Macaca mulatta: one gene and its partner. The protein of the gene in region 2 interacts with the protein of the main gene of each other region in a pairwise test. Links are inferred from orthologs where the notes say so. Each region holds a gene or a part of one and is shown on either strand. Other genes may lie near its edges.

Region 1 (3,817 bases), on a different chromosome or scaffold from region 2:
TCTTTTTTTTTTGGAGACAGTCTTACATTCTGTTGCCCAAGCTGGAGTGCAGTAGCATGATCTCAGTTCACTGCAACCTCCGCCTCCTGGGTTCAGGGGATTCTTGTGCCTCAGCCTCCCAAGTAGCTGGTTACAGGGCTGTGCCACCATACCTGGCTAATGAGACAGGGTTTCACAATGTTGGCCAGGCTGGTCTCAAATTCCCAACCTCAGGTGATCTGTTCACCCAGGCCTCCCAAAGTACTGGGATTACAGGCATGAGCCAATGTGCCCAGCCCAGTTGTTTTGTTTTTTCCAGTAAACCATACGAATAGATTCACAAGCAATTATGTATATGAATTTGCATTGTTGTTCAGAATTCTTATACTTTTTCCACTTGCTAAATAAGAATGGCATCAATGTGAAAGCATGCTAAGAAACGAATATTTAAGTAGCAATAATCAACAAGGTTAAAAGTCCAAAAACAGGGCCAGGCGTGGTGGCTCAAGCCTGTAATCCCAGCACTTTGGGAGGCCGAGACGGGTGGATCACGAGGTCAGGAGATCGAGACCATCCTGGCTAACACGGTGAAACCCCGTCTCTACTAAAAAATACAAAAAAAAACTAGCCGGGCGAGGTGGCAGGCGCCTGTAGTTCCAGCTACTCGGGAGGTTGAGGCAGGAGAATGCCGTGAACCCGGGAGGCGGAGCTTGCAGTGAGCTGAGATTCCGCCACTGCAATCCAGCCTGGGCGACAGAGCGACTCCATCTCAAAAAAAAAAAAGTCCAAAAAAAGGAGTCCAAATTGCTCTTTATAGCCTAAAGTATAAATAACAGAACTAAAAAAAAAAGTATGGGAAAAGCCCATAAACACAACCGCCGCCTTAAAAAAAAAAAAAAAAAAGATTGGTCTTGGAGGAACAAAGTATCATTACACTGGCAGTGATAAGTTACCCTTATAATAATCAAAAATAGACTCAATCAAGCAGGTGGGTCCCCAAATTTGTAAGATGTTGAGAATTTAGGAGGACATTATGGTTGCTTCCAAGCATCAGATCCGAGTTCATATCTATCAATTACTTGGGATTCATCAAAATATTTCTCTAAGAACTTGTTTTGTTCCATATACTGTTCAAGGCATCGGAGGGATTATAGAAAGTAAAGTAAGACAAAAATGAATCCCAGCTCTCTCAGAAGAGTCTAGTAAAAGAAAAAAGCATCAACAATCATGAGTGTCACAAGAGGAATTATACAAGGAACACGATGGTTATTAAGCAGAGACTTAAAAAGCAGTTAGGAATTATCAAAGCGAACAGATTGCTTTTCAGGTAAGCCTTAGCAAAGGTCAAGAGTTAACCTGATTCACTACACCAGATTTTCTTGTCTGGAAAATGAGAATGTCATCATAGTTAACAAGAATTAAATGACATTAAGTACATAAAATGCCTAGCCCAGCACCATGACCAGCACCTAATTCAAAAGGTGGTAACTTAACACTACTTACAGCACTCCAAAAAAGACATTTAAGTGCTTTAAACAAAAATATAACCTAACACGTGGTTTCTTTTTTTTTGAGACGGAGTCTCGTGCTGTCGCCCAGGCTGGAATGCAGTGGCCAGATCTCAGCTCACTGCAAGCTCCGCCTCCCGGGTTTACGCCATTCTCCTGCCTCAGCCTCCCCGAGTAGCTGGGACTACAGGCACCCGCCACCTCGCCCGACTAGTTTTTTGTATTTTTCAGTAGAGACGGGGTTTCACCATGTTAGCCAGGATGGTCTCAATCTCCTGACCTCGTGATCCGCCCGTCTCGGCCTCCCAAAGTGCTGGGATTACAGGCTTGAGCCACCGCGCCCGGCCAACACGTGGTTTCTTAAAGACACTGCTACTACTTCTACTTCTTATGTTCCCAGAAGGACCCAGCCAGTGACTTCTAAGAGGTCCTTAAATTACATAAAAGGAAAACAAAGTCTTAAATTACCTTGTCAGTCCTGCTGCCACGGTTTGGGCGCCCACCACGCCCACGTCCACCTCGTCCTCCCCTGCCACCACGTCCTGGGCGGCCAAGGTCTCCAAAATTGATCTCCAGCTGAGACGTTATATCATTTGCTGGCTTCCGGAAATGATGGTCCATAACCGAATCTTCAGCATGAGCCTAAAAACATAAGTGAAGATGACTGGGTTATTAGTAGAAAAGTAACGTCGCAAAATTTCTAAATAATGAGCTTTCTTCTAAAAAGACCAAAAATCCAAACTGTACTTTCTGTGAACAAATGTCTGAATGTCTCCACAGGTAACAAGCTAGGGCTCAGCTATAGTGATCTTGGAGGAATAATTTCCTTCACTTTTCTCTATCTCAAAATTGCAGGTAATATCAGTGGTCCTCAACTAAAGACATATATGCTATCACAATCAACCCAAATGATTGTGGCCCATCCCAGACCTACTGAATCATAATCTTTAGCAGTGAAATCTGGACAAGTACATTTTAAATACGCCCTTCAGATCAGGACTCCAATGTGAATCCTTGATGAAGACCTCTGGAGAGGTGACATATAAGGCTACTACTATCACTGAAGTTAAAAAGAACACGCAAGTTAAAAAGAAAACCTCTGTTCTACACTCTTTCAACTATAACTAGGGTAATGACCTTATTCCATACAAACTTTTCAGAAGCATCTTCTGTTAATATACAACCATTATGTTTTTCCACACAAATATGGAGAGCTACAAATTCAAGTGAAACACTACACACTTTACATAAGGGGAATCTTGTAAAGCTATGCACAAATAAATCCACAGCTTAAATGTGTCACAGGAATCTTTTTTTTTTTTTTGAGACAGGGTCTCACTCTGTCACCAGGCTGGAGTGCAGTGGCGCAATCTGGGTTCATTGCAACCTCCACCTCCCAGGCTCAAGTGATCCTCCCACCTCAGCCTCCCAAGTAGCTGGGACTACAGGCACATGCCACGATGTCTGGCTAATTTTTTTGTATTTTTTTATAGACAGGTTTTCGCAGTGTTGCTCAGGCTGGTCTCAAACTCCTGGGCTCGAGCGATCCGCTGGTGTTGGCCCTCCAAAGTGCTGGGACTACCGGCATGAGCCACCACGCCCAGCTAGAAACTTCTTAAAAATGAAGTCATGTTTGTGAAATCCAGATCCTTTCTATTTGTGTTTAAGATACATGACCCAGTCTGGGAGGAAAAAAGCAAAAAGCCAGACAGTTCTACACTGCTCCATGCCTGATGTCTTCTTCCATGCTTGGGATGGGTTTTAATCTTCTAGTTGAAAACTGTGCCTATGGGACTTTAAAGTACAGCTTTCTTTTTCTAAATACATGTAAGAAATCCTCTTTTCTACAGGAATAAAGAACATTTTCTTCTTTCATTAGAACTTGTACTATTACAATTCCATTAGATTCAACTTAAAATATTACAACTGTTAATAACTAGCCTTTAAAGTACAAATAAATTTTTGTGTTTTCATCCCTTACATCAACTCATACTAGCATTAAAGGTCAATCCTTTGTACCCACACTAACACAATGTAAGGCAATAGAAGGCTCTAATACGAATTTTAAAGGAGCCTAGAAACATAAAAACAAATTCACAAAAACACCAGCAAATTAAGATGAATTATATACACTAATTGTGTGATTTTTAAATGTTTGCTCTTTCAAACCAATGCTTTCAATTAATTGCAAACCACCTATCAAAAATATTCAGAAGAAAATAAAACCAACCAACCATATAACAATAAAAAGTAAGGCCAAGGGCAGTGGCTGAAACTTGTAATCCCACACTCTGGAAGGCATAGGCAGGAGGGCTGCCTGAGTCCAGGAG
Region 2 (3,817 bases):
CCCTCTACTATGGCCTGAGTTTACAAAAGTTCTCACATCTAGTCTTCAGCCCCTCCCCCTCATTCTGTAAGACAATATCCAGCAGCACCATGGGGGAGGGCCAGCTGGTGAAAGAGCCGCCAGTGGGCTATCTCTAGCAGCTCCTGCCCTTTTAGGCCAAAATTCTTAACCACTCTTGGGGCAAGGCTGGACGCTGAAGGAAGAGCTGCTGTTCACAGAGGTTACTGAATCTCTGGGAAGTTCCATCAATAGCCCTTGGGAAATCTTCGATCACCATGGCTCCAGAAACAAGAAATGCCAACTGAGAGGACTCACATCATTAGTGGGAGAACTGGGAGGCCCATCACCCTGTAGCTCCTTCTTCTTCTTCTTATACTTCCGGGGCTGGGCAGGGTCTTCCCCCATAATTAGTTCTCTGGAAAAAGAGTGGCTCTGAATGAGGCCTCATCTTTGGGAGTCCTACGCTTTCTTTTCTGAACCCATTCCAGACCTACTTCCCACTGTCCATGACCTAGATTTTCCCATATTTCCTTTTTCCCAGGCTTTTTACCCTTGCCCTTTGGATTTCACCTCAAGAACCAGCCCTCCCCACTCTTGAACATTCTCTTCTCCACTACTCAGCCAGATCTTGTTTCTGTTCCTTACACTACCTCTTTAGCAAGCCCATCTCAAACCACCCAGCCCAGGTGGCCATTGCCCTGAACTCCAGGTTGAATCAGTCCCTTCTATACCCTCATTTTATGCTGGAGTTTTAGCTTTCAGGCCCTCATCCTCAGAATCCCTCAAATCCACAGGCTCGTTCCCTCACCGGTGTCTCCAGTAGCTTTGCTTATGTTCTTCATATTCAGGGATATTCATTTCATCTTCCTCCCACGTGGACTGGTCATATGGCAAGTCCCTCCATTTTACTAGATAGTGGTAATTCCCCTTTTTATCCACACTGTGGGGCAGGAGGCCATAAGGAGGAGCAGGAGGAAACAAAAATTGCATAGATCACAAACAGCAAGAAGGCCTGAGAAACGCAATTATCAGCAAACACACAAAATTTGTCACCCAACCTTCAACAGTGGGCGCTGGAAGGGACGTGAGAATAGTTAACCTGGCAGCCTAACCTTCTCAGGATGGTATCCTAAAAATCAACTATCACAAAACATTCCTGGAGATCCCTCCTTATATCATTTGTTCACCTAATCACTAAGTATTTTCCTCATGGACCTCAGAGTCTCATGGGGAAGACAGCATTGAAATAACTAAATAAATACCGTAACTTTAGGCAGTAATAAGTACCATGAAGAAGAAATATTCAGAACACTGGTCTGGATGAATTATGTCTCTCATGTTTTGCTTTCATGCCCTCATCCCCAGACTCATGTGCTATGTCTTATGCCACTGGAGATGACAAAAGAGGCACTGCCTGGCCGAACTTTCCTCCTGTTTTCTCCCATTCCCCTGGAGGAAACAAGGCCAGAAAGGCTGAAGCTACAGCAGAGGTTATCAAGGTTAGATCAATTACCTGGTTAATCAGCAAATACTAACATGAGGCTATCACCATGGTAAGAATAGTGTCATATACCAGGTCTTACTTCCCAGGGCCAAGGATTCACCTGTGGTTGATGATACGGTGGACAGTCATCCACTCTGGCTTGATGCCAAAACGATAGTACTTCTCCTCCATCTCAGCATAGTGTGGGTCTTTCACTTTACGCTTGTCACTCTTCCCATCATCCTCGCCGGAGCCATAGTCCAGGGGCGGGGGCTCATCCATGTCATTCTTCCGCTGGTAGTTTCGGTACATAACCAAATGGAAGATTTCCAGCTGATAGGGCACAGAAAAACGAGGAAGAGACAGGCCTGACACTCACAGAGGACAACAGGGAACGGGGAAGAGGCCAGCAGGAGGAATGGGACAGGGAAAGAGAGCTATGAAAAAGGATAGATTGGCTGGGCGCGGTGGTTCATGCCTGTAATCCCAGCACTTTGGGAGGCTCAGGGGTGCGGATCACCTGAAGTCAGGAGTTCAAGACCAGCCTGGTCAACATGGAGAAACCCTATCTCTACTAAAAATACATAAATTAGCCAGGTGTGGTGGCACATGCCTGTAATCCCAGATATTCAGGAGGCTGAGGCAGGAGAATCTCTTGAACCCATGAGGTGGAGGCTGTAGTGAGCCAAGGTCACGCCACTGCACTCCAGCCTGGGCAATAAGAGAATAACAGGCGCGTCCCAGCACTTTGGAAGGTTGAGGCAGGTGGATCACCTGAGGCTGGGAGTTCGAGATCAGCCTGATCAACGTGGAGAAACCCCATCTCTACTAAAAATACAAAATTAGCCGGGCGTGGTGGCGGGCGCCTGTAATCCCAGCTACTTGGGAGGCTGAGGCAGGAGAATCGCTTGAACCCGGGAGGCAGAGGTTGCAGTGAGCCAAGATCGTGCCACTGCACTCCAGCCTGGGCAACAAGAGCAAAACTCCATCTCAAAAAAAAAGAAAAGAAAAAAGAAAGGAAGAAAAAGGATGGATTAGAGACAAATGAGTCAAAGTCAAAACAGGAGAATAAATAAAATGAAACAGATGCAACAGTTTCAGAAGACACCGCCTGGGTGGGGCTGTTATAAGCAAAAGGAGATAGGGAATGGGGTTATAAACATTGAGATTTTTTTTTTTTGAGATGGAGTCTCGCCCTGTAGCCCAGGCTGAAGTGCAGGGGCACGATCTTGGCTCACTGCAAGCTCCGCCTCCCGGGTTCACACCATTCTCCTGCCTCAGCCTCCCGAGTAGCTGGGATTACAGGCGCCCACCACCATGCCTGGCTAAATGTTTTGTGTTTTTAGTAGAGACGGGGTTTCACTGTGTTAGCCAGGACGGTCTCGATCTCCTGACTTCAGGTGATCCGCCTCCCTCGGCCTCCCAAAGTGCTGGGATTATAGGCGTGAGCCACCGCACCCAGCCGATAATTTTTTTTTTTTAAATAGAGATAGGGTTTCACTATGTTGCCTAGGCTGGTCTCAAGCAATCATCCTCCCCTGGCCTCCCAAAGTGCTAAGATTATAGGTGTGAGCCACTATGCCCAGCCAGGAATATTATAAAACATGGAAAAAGATAGATAAGGAAGGACGTGAAGTTAAGAAAGGCTATGCTATATCTGAGGGAAGAAAGCTAATGGAGACTGAGAGAAAGAGGACTGTAGACCAAAAGAACCACAGATGGAAACTAAGCAAGTAGGGTATAAAGGCCAGAGGCCTGAAACGAGAGAAAATGAAGGGTATGGGAACCCAGCAAACAGAGGAGTAAGAGAGGGAGAGGATGGCAGGAAATGAGGTCATGGGGGAGAGGAAAAGCAAAGGTCCTAGTACCTGAAGCTCCTTGGCCCAGGAGCAGTGCCAGTAGGATAGTCCCACCCACTTGACAAAGAACTCTCGCTCTGATCTGCCTTGAAGAGGACGCGGGGCTGGGACATCTGGATTCCCGTCTGCCTGTTGAGGGGCTGGCATTGCTACAGGCGGCTCCCCCCACCGCCAATGCAAGATCTTCTGCACTCGACCCTTCAGCACAGGGCACTTTGGGATGGACATGTACAAGGAGAAGGAAAAAAAAGAGGCAGACAGAACCCATCGTTAGATGACAGGATAGGGGTCCCACAGAGTGGGGGAGTGCAGAGAAAGGAAAAGCTGGACATGTGGGCCCCAGGGATGGGGGAAGGGATCAGGCCCGACAGTAAATACAGAGGGGAGATGTTTCCACTCACTGTGCATCGGGGACACAGCCATTCACCATTGGGAATGTCAGGCAGGGGAGGGTTTAGACAATGAATGTGGTAGG

Evidence for each region.
Region 1: the proteins of CHD3 (region 2) and SERBP1 interact in binary tests that used the Homo sapiens proteins (3 or more experiments, as listed by UniProt). The link is inferred for Macaca mulatta from reciprocal best matches to the Homo sapiens genes CHD3 and SERBP1.

The regions. Positions count from the first base shown.
Region 1 is NC_133406.1:173,192,519-173,196,335, reverse strand, and holds part of SERBP1 (SERPINE1 mRNA-binding protein 1), read right to left. Parts: intron 2,130-3,817; coding exon 1,956-2,129; intron 1-1,955. UniProt on the Homo sapiens protein: Ribosome-binding protein that promotes ribosome hibernation, a process during which ribosomes are stabilized in an inactive state and preserved from proteasomal degradation.
Region 2 is NC_133421.1:9,402,392-9,406,208, reverse strand, and holds part of CHD3 (chromodomain-helicase-DNA-binding protein 3), read right to left. Parts: coding exon 3,744-3,817; intron 3,556-3,743; coding exon 3,352-3,555; intron 1,817-3,351; coding exon 1,605-1,816; intron 941-1,604; coding exon 809-940; intron 416-808; coding exon 316-415; intron 1-315.